2 linked regions of the Elephas maximus indicus genome follow. The protein of the gene in region 2 purifies or fractionates together with the protein of the main gene of each other region. This does not show direct contact. Links are inferred from orthologs where the notes say so. Each region holds a gene or a part of one and is shown on either strand. Other genes may lie near its edges.

Evidence for each region.
Region 1: the proteins of UBE3A (region 2) and PSMD2 purify together in Homo sapiens (affinity purification with mass spectrometry; 4 studies listed by BioGRID and IntAct, with this or other methods). This does not show direct contact. The link is inferred for Elephas maximus indicus from reciprocal best matches to the Homo sapiens genes UBE3A and PSMD2.

What each region holds. Positions count from the first base shown.
Region 1 is NC_064819.1:30,790,824-30,798,722, reverse strand, and holds the start of PSMD2 (26S proteasome non-ATPase regulatory subunit 2), read left to right. Parts: upstream 1-4,812; 5' UTR 4,813-4,871; coding exon 4,872-5,003; intron 5,004-5,441; coding exon 5,442-5,498; intron 5,499-6,224; coding exon 6,225-6,389; intron 6,390-7,428; coding exon 7,429-7,550; intron 7,551-7,720; coding exon 7,721-7,899. UniProt on the Homo sapiens protein: Component of the 26S proteasome, a multiprotein complex involved in the ATP-dependent degradation of ubiquitinated proteins.
Region 2 is NC_064831.1:101,130,598-101,138,666, reverse strand, and holds the start of UBE3A (ubiquitin-protein ligase E3A), read left to right. Parts: upstream 1-5,040; 5' UTR 5,041-5,626; intron 5,627-8,069. UniProt on the Homo sapiens protein: E3 ubiquitin-protein ligase which accepts ubiquitin from an E2 ubiquitin-conjugating enzyme in the form of a thioester and transfers it to its substrates.

The sequences.
Region 1 (7,899 bases), on a different chromosome or scaffold from region 2:
TGGGCTTGGCAAATTCCAGAACCTGAAGAGAGATTAAGAATTAAGACTTCTGAAGTTTGGGTGTTACACAGAGGATGGGATTTAAAATGCCAGAGGGCATTTATGACTGAGCAAAGGGGCTTGCTTGGCAGGATAAGCCTTACCCTTCCCTTGACACTGATTTCAGGGGCCAGCTTAGCCATACCCCCCACTCGCCATTTGACACCAATGTGGTCTTCAAGCTCCATATTTGTAAAAAGGTCAAGAGGTCAAAAACCAAACCCATTGCTGTTGAGTCAATTCTGACTCATACTGACCCTACAGGATGGAGTAGAACTGCCCCATAGAGTTTCCAAGGAGCACATGGCGGATTTGAACTGTTGACCTTTTTTGAGTAGCTATAGCTCTTAACTGCTATGCCATCAGGGTTTCCAAGATGTCAAATAATGCTAAGCATAAAATAAGGAGCAGCAACTTTCACTCACTGAGTCCCAGTTTTGCTTAAGCCTGTGCTAAAAAAAAAAAAAAAATTGTGCTAAGTACTTTAAAAATAATATTCTCATAAAATTCCCACAACAACTTATAAGTAAGTTCTATTGATGTCTCCATTTTACATGGGACAGAACTAACAAAAAAGGTTACCAAACTTCCAGTGTCAGGACTGATTCATTAAAGTCAGGTTTGGAACTCACGTCCAAATGCTTTTAATTGCCATCGCTCAGTCTTCTGACTCTTGACAGACTTTGGGCTCAAGCATAGACATCTGTCTTTGGGGAAATTGCACCAGCTTCTGAGTAGGACTGCCACCAACAAGCGCACTACCGTGCCACATAGCTCCCTTGGGCCACGCACTTGTGACAACCAGGCAGCTGCAGAAAACCTAAGCCCATTTGGAGCTGAAATTAAGCCAGGTAACCTGTTGCCATTGAGTTGATTTGGACTCATAGCGACCCTGTAAGACAGAGTAGTACTATCCCATAGGGTTAGCAGGTGGCACCTGTTGATTGAGGACTCTGAGCATGCATGGTTCCAGGAGCAAGGCAAGGTGAACATCAGGTGAGAGATGCAACCTTCACCTTCAGAAGCCCTCACAGGCTGATGAATTTTCATCAGCGAAATGCTCCAGTGTGCTGAGGCAGAAGGGGGAACGAAGGATGGTGGTCCTGGATGGACACATGTGAACAACTGTACAGTGCTAGGCCATACCCTGCCCTGTCCCTTGAGGAAATTTCACTAAGTCTCATGCAAGATAAAGTGACATATGCCGAGCAGTGTCATTCTATCCTTGGCAGCACTCTGGAAATGTTAGGCTGGAACAGTCCCCCATGAAGTCAGCACAGGTTCAGTGGGTCTGTCCTGGCTCACCAATCCTGAAGACAATTCCCCAGTGCTCAGCTGTGGACTCCAAAGAGTGCCCCTGATAGGTTATTATTACACAAAGATGACCTAAAGATGAATGCAAAGCCACTCATTCATTCATCCAACAAGTATTTGTTGAGGCCTACCACAAACCAAGCATCATGATGGATGCTAAAGCACAACGATGAATAAGACACAGTTCCTGTCCTCCAGGAGCTCAGCATCTAGGGCAGGAGAACTACCTACCAAGTACAGTAGGAGTCCCCTGGGTGACACAAATGGTTAAGCGAGGCACTACTAACAGAAAGGCTGGCGGTTCAAACCTACCAAGAGGCTCCTTAGAAATAAGGCCTGGTAATCTGCTTCCAAAAGGTTACAGCCTTGAAATTCCTATGGAACAGTTCTGCTCTGCATACTTGGGGTCCTTGTGAGTTGGAATTGACTTGAAGGCAACTAACAACAACAATATGGTGGGAGCAGAGAAGAAATGACCAACTTGGTCTGACAGGGAAGGAAAAGCTTCCTAGATAGGTGTCATTGAGTTGGAGCTTAGAGGACAGGAGAATTTGCTATCTGAAAACAGCAAAGGGCATTCCATACAGAAGGAACAGCAATGTGAAAAGTTGGATCAGCTTCGAAGGCAGGGCATGTTCAGAAACAGTCAAATGTTTAGGATGATCAGAAGGAGGGTGAGTCAAAGAGGCATGTTGAAAGCTGAGAGTCTTGAAAAGGGTAGTAGGTGCAGGTATGAAAAAGAGGAGACCGTAACATGCTCTCAGTTCTGAGAATTGACAGTAAGAAGGGCTACAGTACAATCTGACTAAAAAATACCACACTAAAGAAACCCAATGGAAACAGTGTGTCTTAGTTATCTAGTGCTGCTATAACAGAAATACCACATTTGGGTAGCCTTAACAAACAGAAATTTATTTTCTCACAGTTTAGAAAGCTAGAAGTCCATATTCAGGGCATTGGCTCTAGGGGAAGGCTTTCTTTCTCTGTCAGCTCTGGGGGAAGGTCTTTGTCTCTTCAGCTTCTGCTTCCTGGTTCCTTGGAGTGCTCCACGTGGCTTGGCATCTATCTTCCCCCATGTCAGCTTGCTCCTTTTATATCTTGTAAGGGATTGACTCAAAACACATCTTATATTAATCATGCTCCATTAACATAACTAAGACAACCCATTCCTAAATGAGATTATAATTACAGGCATAGACATTAGGATATATAACACAGATTTTTGTGGAACACAATTCATAACATGCAGATTTGAGGTAGTTGGAAAATACAATGACAACCAGCCTCCTATCTAACTGCCAGGCACCCAGCTACGTACTTTAAAAAAAAACCAAACCTGTTGCCATCCAGTCGATTCTGACTTATAGTGACCCTATGGGGCAGAGTAGAACTGCCCTATAGGGTTTCCAGAGAGCTGCTGGTGGATTCGAACTACCGACCTTTCAGTTCTCAGCCAAGCGTTTAACCACTGCGCCACGTTCACCAAGACCCCACTTTGTATACATTGTCTCATTTTTTTTTTTATAATTTATCACCCACATTTTACAGAGACAAAAACCACGCTCAGAGAGGCTAGGTAATTTGCCTAAGTCTCACAGTTGGTGAATGGCAGAATTTGGTTTTAAACACTAGGTCTGTTTGTCTCTAAACTTCTGTTTCCCTCTCTATGCCCAATTTTTTATTTTGAAACATTTCAAAACTACAGAAAAGTTGAAACATAGTACAAGAAACATTCATATAATCTTCATCTGGTTTCACCAACTGTTAACAGCCTGTGCTTTTTGCTACAACATCACCCCCCTCTTCTAGAGGGTGCTGGTTGGGAAATGACTGGTACATAGGATAAAATCCAAGGTCTGATAGAAGTCATGGAAAAAGGAGTTACTTAAGAGAAATCCTTCTACAGATGACTGAAGAATGCATAATAATGTATAGACATCTGGAAGCCAGAGCTGGAATAGGCAGAAGAGCTATGAGTTGCCCAACTTCTGTCAACAGACCAGGGCTGGGGGAGTCATTGCCAATAGAAATGGAAGATCATCTCTAAAGCCCAAACACTGAAGGGAAAACAGCAAAATGGATTTCAAACCCTTATATCTAAATCTATATAGGTGTTTGGCCAACACCCATTTAGTGCTATTTTTTTTTTTTTATCCTGTGCTAGGTGTTTTTGTTTTTTTCAAACATTTTCTGTGTTCTTCAATGCATCCAAAAATAAACAAAAACCAAACCTGTTGCCATCGAGTCAATTCTGACTCATAGTGACCCCACAGGACAGGGTAGAACTGCCCCATAGAGTTTCCAAGGAGTGGCTGGTGGATTTGAACTGCAGACCTTCTGGTTAGCAGCTGAGCTCTTAACCACTGCACCACCAGGGCTCCTTTAATTCATCAGAATCCAAAAAATAAGACTCCAGGTTAAATGGTGAGTGCTCCTACCAGATGAAGAGTTATTTCTTTTTTTCTCAACTTCTAGACCACACACATGGCCCACACATGGCCAAGCTGAAGAAGAAACTTTGGGGTTTGCCTGAAGCAGTCAAGGGCTCGGAGGATAGAAGGATCAAAGTTCAAATCCTGATCTTACTACTTATTACATGACGTCTGATTGTTACTATATTTCTGAGCCTTAGTTTCCTCTGTAAAATGGACACAACTGTATCAATCTCAAAAGTTTATGAGAACTACACGTGATCACTTAAAAGTACTCCTGATAGTGTCAGTTACACCCCTTCCAAGTCACAATAAGGAGGAGGGAAACCACACGCCAGACTGAGAACAAAGACCTTGTCTTGCTCCGCTTTTAGCTCCAGAACTTGGCAGTGCAGCATAGGATTTTTATAGATTTCTTCTTCACCCCAATACCAAAAACCAAACCCTTTGCCGTCGAGTCAACCCTGACTCATAGCCATCCTATAGGACAGAGTAGAGCTGCCCCATAGTTTCCAAGGAGCGCCTCGTTAGCACACTCTCCTTCAACTGGGGGCTAGACATATACTACAGAAACTTTACATATATGACAATCAAGGGTCCCCGATTTCAAAATCTTGGCTGCTTGTCGGACCACGCAGTCAAGTGCGGTGTCACTGTCTGGACTATTTATACTGCTAAAAGGAAACCTAACGGCAAGGAAATCTCGGTAGCCTACACCCCGGCGTCCAGGGAGCTCCGAGGGCCGGATTCGGGCCACATCCTCGGCGCGGGGGATGCTGGGGATGGTAGTTTTTCATCTGGCTTCCGGGGGCGGGGTCAGAGGGATGGCGCTCGCCGTCACGTTTCCGGTCGCAGGCGTGCTCGGGAGGAGGATGAGCACCGAGGCTCCCCGCGGTGTTTCCGGTCGGAGGCGGGCTCTGGAGGAGGAGGAGATCCTAGGTTCGCGTTGCGTTTCCGGTCGCTCGCGAGTCTGGAGGAGGAGCACATCGGCCGACGCGCGCGAGGCCTCCTGGGAGATGGGGGCGGTGCGAGCGGGTGCGCGCGCAGTGGGCCGGCGGCGGCGGTGGCAGGTCTGGCTGGTGAGCGATGGAGGAGGGTGGCCGGGACAAGGGGCCGTTGCCCCAGCAGCCCCCAGTGACAACTCCAGGCAGCGCGGACGAGAAGCAGAGCGGCAAGGAGCGGCGGGATGCTGGGGACAAGGACAAAGAGCAGGAGCTGGTGAGGCACGGCTCCGGGAGCCAGCCGAGGAGGCCACGGGCTGAGTCACGGCGGCCCCGCAGGCCTCGGGCCCTACTCCCAACGGCCCCGCGGCGCCCTGGAGAGGGCGGATGGGGCGACCCTCGGGGCTCTTGGCCCCCCGCTCTCTGCCCCACCTCCCCCACCCCGCGCTGTCATCTCTGCGGTCCCCGCCAGCCCTCGCGACCGCCCCGCGAGCTGGGGTCGGGCGGGTCACTGTCGCCCACATTTCAGAGAACGGCGTTCAGACAGCCTGGCCCAGAAGCCAAGGTGCCTTCCCACCAGGTTTCCCCGTTCCCGCTCTTCTGGTCCACCTGGTCCCTCCTGAGGCGGCAGGCTCTCACCACCTGTCCCAGGGTGAATGGGAGGAGGATGATTGGGATTGCTTGTGTTGATGAGCTTCTTCCCCCAACCCTGCAGTCTGAGGAGGACAGACAACTTCAGGATGAACTGGAGATGCTCGTGGAGCGACTGGGGGTGAGTCAGGACGTTATCCTGAGCGGGTGAGGGCGTTAGGATCTTCCCCATTTGTCTGCTTTTTTCCATTTGAGGCCATAGCTGATATGTGAAGTGTGAGGAAAAGTAGACTGTATTTCAGGGTGATTGTTGTGATGATGGAGCCCTGGTGGTGCAGTGGTTAAGAGCTTGGCTGCTAACCAAAAGGTTGGCAGTTCAGACCCACCAGCCGCTCCTTGGAAACCCTATGGAGCAGTTCCGCTCTATTCTATAGGGTTGCTGTGAGTCGGGATCAACCTGATGGCAGTGAGTTTGGTCTGGTTGGTTGTGATAGTGTTGTGAGGGGAAGAATTGCAAATAATACATGAAAAATTATGTAGTTTTGTCTTGTCGGAGAAGTAGAGCCGTTGAGCTCTTAACTGGGGTCATTTGTGTTTCTGTGAGGGCACTGTGCAGGGAGTTGGGGAATCAAAGATAAATGAGATAGTTACTTTTTTAGAAGAGTTGTAATTTCACATCTCCATGTTATGACTTGGGGAGCCCTGGCGGTACAGTGGTTAAGAGCTCAGGGGCTGACTAAAAGGTCAGCAGTTCGAATCTACCAGCCACTCCTTGGAAACCGTGTAGGGCAGTTCTCTGTCCTTTGTGGGTTGCTATAAGTTGGAATCGACTCGACGGCAACGCGTTTATTATGTCTTGGAGAGATGTGAATCCTCTTTGTCTGAATCCTAACGTATCCTGAATCAGGAGAAGGACACGTCCTTATACCGACCAGCTCTGGAAGAGCTGAGAAGGCAGATTCGTTCCTCTACAACATCTATGACTTCAGTGCCCAAGCCTCTAAAATTTCTGCGTCCACACTATGGCAAACTGAAGGAAATCTATGAGAACATGGACCCTGGAGAGAATAAGGTAAAACTATCTCAGAAGCTGGTGGAGGTCTAGTTTAGGAATTCTTTTATCTAGGCTTTGGGGCTCATGATTAACACTGGAAGCCTGATAGACTAAGACCTGGGTTAGTTAACAAAGCTCATCACAGCCAAAATACCCCCAAGAGAGCTGAAAGAGGAGAATAAATTTTTCATTAGACACTTTCTGTCATTTATGTTGGACCCTGAGGCTTCATTAGTATGACTTAGTTGTTATGTTTAAGTTTGTTCTTTTTTTAATTTCCTTTATATCGCATATCCATCCATTTACTCTAGCTCAAAATATACTCTCAGTTCAAACACTTCTCCACATGTTGGTACAACCATAATCCAGGAAACCTTCCAGTTCTTACCTGAACCACTGCAACAGCCTCCTAAATGGCCTTTGTCCTTGACCTCCTACCAGGGCTTCAAACCAGTTCTTTTCAGGTTCAAACCACTGCTGAGAATTTGCATTTCCAACAGGATCCCTGGTGATGCTGATGCAGCTGGTCAGGGACCAGTTCTGACAACCACTAGTAGAGCAGTGGTTCACAAAGTTTATTGTGCGTAAGAATCACCTGAGGATCTTGTTAAACTGTAGATTCTGATTTGGTATATCTGGGGTAGAAGTTCAGATTCTCAGCTGGGGTTTGAACCAGAACAAACCAGTTTCAACTTTCTGCTTCCTGCAGTCTATTATATAGGAACCATAAGTGATCCTTCTAGATTTGTGTGTCTTCTGCTTAAGACTCTCTAATAGATTATTATTGCAATTAGACTGAAATTCAGAGTCCTGGCTTTCTCCACTCTCACCCTTGTTTCCCACCCTTTAGCCATGTTGGTTTAGAAACAAGATAGTGACACCAGCCTTAGGTCGTTGTGAGGCTTAGCTTAGATAACATGTAAGTTTGTAGTACAGAGATTGGTATGTGGCTAATACTGAATTTTGGAGGCAGTGACAGTGATCTGGATTGCATAATGTCATGCTCCCCTTCCCTTGGACCATTGGATTTGACCTCAAAGGACTGGTCTCTCTGCAGCGTTTTGCAGCTGACATCATCTCCGTTCTGGCCATGACCATGAGTGGGGAGCGTGAGTGCCTCAAGTATCGGCTTGTGGGCTCCCAGGAGGAATTGGCATCGTGGGGTCATGAGTACGTCAGGTAAGGCCTTTTCTTCTGAGGAGTGTGAGGGAGGGGACAGTCTGAGGTAGAGTTGTGATTCTGCCATGGAGTACCAGCGTACCCGGAGTTTCCCAGAACACTGAATTCCTTGCCACACAGGGAAGGACTTCCCGTGCTCTGCTCCTTTAATGGTCTGGGCCTGTTTGTAGGCATCTGGCGGGAGAAGTGGCAAAGGAGTGGCAGGAGCTGGATGAGGCAGAGAAGGCGCAGCGGGAGCCACTGCTGACCCTGGTGAAGGAGATCGTCCCCTACAACATGGCCCACAATGCAGAGCACGAGGCCTGTGATTTACTTATGGAAATTGAGCAGGTGGATATGCTGGAGAAGG
Region 2 (8,069 bases):
GTCTTTTGTATTTCTTGACTGCTGCTTCCATGGCTGTTGATTGTGGATCCAAGTACAATGAAATCCTTGACAACTTGTCTTTTCTGTTTATCATGATGTTGCTCATTGGTCCAGTTGTGAGGATTTTTGTTTTATGTTGAGGTGTAATCCATACTGAAGGCTGTGGTCTTTGATCTTCATTAGTAAGTGCTTCAAGTCCTCTTCACTTTCAGCAAGCAAGGTTGTGTCATCTGCATAACACTGTTAATGAGTCTTCGTCCAATCCTGATGCTGCATTCTTCTTCATATAATCCAGCTTCTCGGATTATTTGCTCAGCATACAGATTGAATAGGTATTATGAAAGGATACAACCCTAACACACACCCTTCCTGACTTTAAACCACTCAGTATCCCCTTGTCCTATCTGAACAACTGCCTCTTGATCTATGTAAAGGTTCCTCATGAGCACAATTAAGTGTTCCAGACTAAGACAAAATAGGAAGAAGGACCCAGCAGTCTACTTCTAAAAAGAATTAGCCAGTGAAAACCTTAACAGCAGCAGAACTTTTCTAAATAGAAGGGATAAATTCAGTAGAAAGGGGGAATGTATGGAAAGAAGAGGGAATGACTAAGAGAGCAATGTCTGGAGGAGACAAAAAGAAAAAAGATATTAGACTTAGCAACGAAGATGGATGGCTCATACTTTGAAACATGAAGTAAAGAGGAGTGCAGCTTTAGATAGGCTTGTAGGAATAAGGGTAAAGGTGTGTCTTAGTCATCTAGTGCTGCTACAACAAAAATACCATAAGTGGATGGCTTTAACAAAGAGAAATTTATTTCCTCATAGTAAAGTAGGCTAAAAGTCCAAATTCAGGGTGTCAGCTCCACGGGAAGGCTTTCCCTCTCTGTTGGCTCTGGAGGAAGGTTCTTGTCCTCAATCTTCCGATGGTCAAGGAACTTCTCAGATGCAGGGACGCCATGCCCAAAGGACGCACTCTGCTCCTGGTGCTGCTTTCTTCTTGGCATGAGGTCCCTGTCTCTCTGCTCGCTTCTCTGTTTTATATCTCAAAAAAAATTGCCTCAAGACACAATCCAATCTTGTACATTGAGTCCTGCCTCACTAACACAACTGCCGCCCATCCCTCTCATTAACACTACAGAAGCAGGATTTACAACATATAGTAAAATCACATCAGTTGATGAAATGGTGGACAATCACACAATACCGGGTATCATGACCCAGCCAAATTGATACACCCATTTTTGGCGTATGACAGGGCATAAAGGAGCTCATACCTGAAGTATAAAATGCTAAATAATAACATAAAAACCAATAAAAAATTTCCTTATAGTTGATTTCTACTCATGGCAATTCCGTATGTTACAAAGTAGAACTTCTCCATAGGGTTTTCTTGGCTGTAATCTTTAAGGAAGTAGATTGCCAGGGCCTTCCTCTATGGCATGGCTAGGTGGATCTGAAACACTAACCTTTAGGTTAGTAGTTGAGCGCAATCCATTTGCGCCACCCAGGAACGTAATACTAATAATTCTAATATTACTACTAATACTACAAAAAGCATTACATTCATTGAACACTTACCATGTGTCATACAATGTTCCTCATGGAGCTAATTTTGCTTCAATAATGTTTCTTCAATATTGGAAACTACTCAGCTACTGGGTATGTCATATCTTGATGCAGCCTAAAAACAGCTTTTATTACTGAGTAATATATGCAACAGTGACTTTCACTCCACCATATCTGACCCTTTTCTCTTCCATGCACTGAAACTATTCCTAATCCCAAGGGCCAGGACGGGTAATATAAACTTGTTTTTAAATTCTGATTCATCTATCGTGACTCCCATCTGTAAGAAATCCCAGCATCAAAAGACCCCTGTCGAAAATTACTAAAACTTTCTAGCAATTTAGGCAAGGTGTTTCATTTAAAAAAAAAAAACTTGATTAATATTAGTAGATAAAGACTAGTAGATTCTCCCATAATCCCTGAAGCGTTATGTTACTCTAAAAAGGTATTCAGAGTTTTACCATGTACACATGTGACTTCCTCTTGGATTGTGAGCTTTTGAAGGCAGGGATAGGGAGTTTTCATCTTTTTTTGTTTCTCAAGACCTGGCATAAACCAAAAACCAAAAGGAAACCCTAGTGGCATAGTGGTCTTAATAAACAGTAGAAGCTCAAAGTTTGTATAAAGAGTACATTATGCTAAAAAAATAAAATTGCTCCTTATACTTTACAGTGAAATGAGGAAATCATTAGAAACTACTGGATCCCATTTTGACTAAAGCCCAAAACCAAACTCACTGCCCTTGAGTCAATTCTGACTCATAGAGACCCTATAAGACAGAGTAGAACTGCCTCATAGGGTTTCCCAGTCTGTAAATCTTCATGTAAGCAGGCTGCCACATCTTTCTCTCTCACAGTGGCTGGTGGGTTAGAACCACCGACCTTTTGGTAGGTCAGCAGCTGAGTACTTTAACCTCTGTACCACCAGTGCTCCTCCCTAAAGATTACAGCCTAGAAAATCATATGGGGCCACTTTAAGTCGGAAGTGACTGGTTGCAACTAACAACAGTCCTGGAACAATTTAAATTTCTCTAGCTTATTTTTATAGCTGATGAAATCTTTCATAGTTGTTATAGTTAGATGGGGTTTATATGAATTATTTTTATGCATCGAGTTCAACTCATAGCGATCCTATAGGATAGCGTAGAACTGCCCTGTAAGGTTTCTTAGGCTGTAATCTTTATGGTGGCATAGTGCTTAAGAGCTACAGCTGCTAACCACAAATGCTGGCAGTTAGAATCCACCAGGTGCTCCTTGGAAACCCTATGTGGCAGTTCTGCTCCATCCAGTAGGGTTGCTACGAGTCAGAATCAACTTGACGGCAATGGGTTTGGTTTTTTTTAATCTTTATGCTTATGCAAGCAGATCCCCAGGTCTTTTCTCCCCAGAGCTGCTGGTGGGATCAAACTGCTGACCTTTTGGTTAGCAACCAAGCACTTAACCATTACACCCAGAAGGCTCCCTTAATTACCTCTGGCTATCTTTATATAAATCTTTAAAAAAAAACAGCGCAGTGGTTAAGAGCTAGGCTGCTAATCAAAAGGTTGGCAGTTAGAAACCACCAGCGCCCCTTGGAAATCCCATGGGGCAGTTCTATTCTGTCCTATACAGTCACTATGAGTAGGAATCAACAAGATGGCAAATGGTTGGGTTCTGAGTTATATAAAGAAAAGACGCTTTAAGAATACCACTTAAAAAAATACACTGCTATGTATGATTGCTGCTATAAAAAAATTCTGAATACTGGATGAATGAGGCCTCTCATACAGTACCTTAAGGCAAATAACACATTGTGAATTTTGCATTTGCCAACTGCGCCTCCCCCACACCTTCCAGGTATTAAGTGTGCTTTATCAATTTTTATTTTACATTGTCGTAAAAAAATTAGCAAGCATGTTTGCAAAAATATGTGGGGAGATCCGTTGGCAAACATAGACCACCTCGGCTATTTGGGTAAAAATACAATATATAAATCACTACTTCACATGCACCCAAGGTGTGCCCTCCTTGCTCTGCTGTGCCATCAAGTCTATTCTGCCTCGTGGTGACTCTATATGCCCCACAGGGTTTCCTAGGCTGTAATCTTTATGGTTATCCAGGTTTTTTCTAACCAGAGCTGCTGGTGGGTTCAAACTGCTGCCCTTTTGGTCAACAGCCAAGTGCTTAACCATTGAGCCCCCTTCATATTAATTACCCCTGGTGGCTTAGTGGCTAAGCGCTATGGCTGTTAACCAAGAGGTCAGCGGTTCGAATGTGCCAGGCGCTCCTTGGAAACTCTATGGGGCAGTTCTACTCTGTCCTACAGGGTCACTGAGTCTGAATCCACTGGATGGCAGTGGAGAGAGTGGTGGTGGTGTAGTGGTTTAGAGCTAGGGCTGCTAACAAAAAGGCCGACAGTTCAAATCCACCAGGCACTCTTGGAAACCCTATGGGGCAGTTCTGCTCTGCCCTGTCTGGTCACTATGACTCGGAATCAACTTGACAGCAACAGGTTTGGGTGTTCTTTTATATACACATATGTATACATATATAAAGATGCTTTTTAAGAATGCCACAAAAAAATACACTGCTACGTATTACTGCTATAAAAAAATCAGAATACTGGATAAACGGGGTCTCTCATACAGTATTGTAAGGGCTTATCAGCAAAGCTGCAAGCCATATGACTATGAATTGTGATTCCACTACAGCTGTTCTATCAAGTATTGCAAAGCCACAAATAAACCCCTTTAGATAAAATGGTGACCGTGCTATTACATGTGATTCTCAATTAAGGCAGTGTTATAAATGGGTTCAGTTGTTGTATGGATAGCTTCTATCCAGCAACTAGGGCCCACCAAAAGGCCACTCTTCTTTATCTACAACCTACTGAATATCGACACTGCAGGAGACAGGCTTCAACCTTTTTGTCTGTTGCAAACTAGTGATACGTTCTGTGGTTAGCAAAAGGACTACATAGATGGCCTTGTTGCCCTGAACGCTGGCCCGCATTCTCAGGCCATCCCCGCAACGTTTACAAAGACAGCTCGGAAGGAAAGGAGTTAGGGTCAGAGACCTAATATCGGAGGCTTCACTTTCTCTTGCCTCGGAGATGGGGGCTATCCATGCCGCCATGGTTGCCCGTTGGAGCTGACTCGCCCCGCAACAAAATCAGGGCTCCAAGTCCTGGCACGTTCCCGGGCTGAGTAGACGAGAGGCTGTAAAACCCCCACAAGAACTTGAGAGGGTTTCCGGAGTGTAGGCCCTTCTCTCTATCGGGCCGCAGACTGCATCTGACAAACGAAACGATTTCCACACTAACCAGTCTCAAAATGGCGGCGGAACCTGGTGGGACGCAGCGGAGTCGCGGGCCACCTCCCCTTCCCAAAGGCCCCTGCGCCAGCGGTGACGGCGAGCGGTAGGGGGGCGGGTCCGACGAGGGGGGGCGGGGAACCTTCGCCCCGCCAGGCGGCGCGCGCTGCCTGCCGGGATACTTGGCCCGCCCAGTTAGTCCTCCCAGCTTGCGCCGCAGCCGCGAGACCCGCGTTTCTACTAAGATGGTGGCGCTGGGCTCGGGGTGACTACGGGAGACGACAGGGCCCTTTCGCCTTCGCCAGGATCCTGACACCCCGCCCTCCGCTCGCTCGCGCACTCCGCCGCCGCGCAGCCAGCCGCCGGTCTGGGCGCCTGCCACCGCCCCCGCCGCCAACCTGCGCTTCACCTCTGTCGACCCGGCGCTCTTAGCCGCGGGCGGCGGCGCCTCTCTCGGCACCTCCTCGGGTCCCCGCTCCGACCCGCTCGCGGCCTAGCTCCGGCCAGGCGGGCTCTGCAGCCGGGTTCGGACAGGCAGCAGCGGAGCGGCGGCCGGAGACGAGCGCGGGGTCCTCGGCGACCCCGGCGCCCCCCCTGGCCGGCCTCGGCGTCTGTAGAAGGAAGCGCGGGTACCGCATGAGCCCCGGCGGTGGCGGCAGCGAAGGGGAACGAGGCGGTGGCGGGCGGAGGCGGCGGGCGAAGGCGACGACGACCAGTGAGGCGGCCGCCGCTGCAAGGGCTGCGACCTAGGCGCGGGGGCGACGACAGGTCAGTGTCTCCACCGAGGGGCCTACTCCGGGGGGGGAGCGGAGCCCCGGCCTCTCGTCCCCTGGGCCCCTCCTCGGGCCGGCTCCGGCGAGGATCGGGCTTCTCCCCCGGGGCGAGTGTTGTGGGGGCGCTTGGTCTGGAGGGGCTGGTGCCAGCAGTAGGCCTCTGGTGGCAGCGCTGGCTGCCGCCGTAACTGTCAGTTCTGGCTGAGCGCCGGAGGGGAAGGGAGCAGGCCCGGGCCCGGGCGGACAGGGCGGCGGAACTGACCAGGCCAAGGCCCAGGGCTGGGGAAGCCTTGATTTTTCCATCGTAGGGGGGCCCGTTATCTATGGTTTCGATTCTCTTAGTTAACAGATAATGTAGGCATGTGTTTTGTGAGTTGGGGCTTTGGGGTCGGATTGGTGGGGGGAGGCGGGTGGAAGAAGTGATGTGTCAAGCCCAGGGATTGCGTTCATTGACTGCCCGTGTGTTACTAGTCACGGGGATTCTAAAGTTGAACGTGAGATAGGGTTGTCAGGGTCTGCGTCAAATGCAGGTCTGCACGCAGTTAATCAGTTGGCCTTTTTTTTTCTTTCTTTCTTTCCCCATTTCAGTTGAGGGAATGCAAAGGAAACTTTCCTCATCTTGGTGTGGACGTTTTTGTGGGTAAACCCAAAAGTGAATGTTCCAAGTGGTATAGTCCATAAAAGACAAACCCGTTGCCGTCAAGTCGATGCCGAGTCATAGCGACCCTATGAGACAGAGTAGAACTGCCTCATAGGGTTTCTAAGGCTGTAATCTTTATGGAAGCTGACAGCCACATCTTTTTCCCGCGAAGTGGCTGGTGGGTTCGAACCGCTGACCTTTCAGTTAGCGGTCGAGTGCTTAACCACTGCGCCATCAGGGCTCCGTTGGTTTAGTTAATAAAGCTTTTAAGGATAAGTTTAATACAGACTCTTTAGTTAAACTTAGACTCTTAGAAAAATACTTCAAGTCTGTGAATTTTTAAAAAACTCGTAGGTGTGCTAAAACAAACAATACAGAATCCATATATGTGTAGGCTCAAACCAAAACTCGCCCTCGAGTTGATTCCGGCTCATGACAAAAAACCAAACCCGGTTTCTGTCGAGTCCATTCAGACTCATAGCAACCCTACAGGACAGAGTAGAACTATCCCATATGGTTTCCAAGGAATGGCTGGTGGACTCGAACTGCCACCTTTTGGTTAGCAGCTGTCGTAGCTCTTAACCACTGCACCAAAACTAATAGCATATGGTATTTACAATCCAAAGTTACCCTCAGAATATGGGTATGACCCATAGTTTTTGGATCTTCCCACTGCGTGCAATATTGAGAGAAGCAGCCGATTTTTTTTTTTTTTTGACGTGGGGGGGAGGGGAGTAGGTAGGGCTTAAAATAGAAATGACCTAAAGTTTAAGAAATACAACCATTAAAATGTTACATGTCAGAGACACTGTATGTACCCAATAAATTTTGTTGAGTGGACTGGGCAAGTGGGATAAAGCTGTTTTCCTCACGCCTCTGACTGAAATTATTTTTTTAAGTCATGAAAAAAGTTCAGAATTTAGCAGAAATAGAAGTAAAGTTTTGTTGTAGTATGTTTAGTGGAAATAACTTTGGAATTAAAGGTCAGCAGTTCGAATCTACCAGCCGCCCTTTGGAAACCCTGTGGGGCAGTTCTACTCTGTCCTGTGGGGGCGCTATGAGCTGTAATCGACTCGATGGTAGTGGGTTTGGTTTTGGTTTTAAGTCTAAGCTGCTTATCACATTTTTAATGAAATAAATACAGTATTAGCGATGCTGCTGACAGGGCCTAAAGGTGACAGGAAGCTCTTTTAAAAATACTAATAAGCATTACAGAAAAACAACAAAAAAGAAATAATGGCTATAAAATTAGAATGCAAACTATGAAAGTCTTGTGTCAGTATTAACTGTCATTAGCATGTTAAGTAGTAGGTACACTATCATCTGGACATAGCCTCTTCCCTGAAGAGTTTATTTATATACAGCGAAAATACAGTGTTTTGATTCCTCTTAGTGGCTTTGTTAGCTGCTTTTATTTTTTCTCCTAAATTCTAAACTTTTTTTTCCCATAGCTAAAAAAACAATTTCTCAAGCAAGAGTACTTACTAGCCAGAGGCGTGAGGAAAACAGTTCTCATCCCACTTGTCCAGCCCTCTTGACAAGATTTATTGGCTACCTTCAGTGTCTTTGATCTGTAACATTTTAATAGTTGTGTTTCTTAAACTTTAAGTCATTTCTTTTTAAGCCCCCCGCCCTCCTCCACAAAAAAATACCTGCTTTCAATTTTGCAGGTAGTAGAGTGATCTAGAACTATGAGTCATATCTGAATTTTTCAACCCAAATGGGTTGAAATGGTGTTTTCAGATGTCTGTTTTCTTAAATCATTACTGGTTATGTTGTATAATTATGTTGCACACTT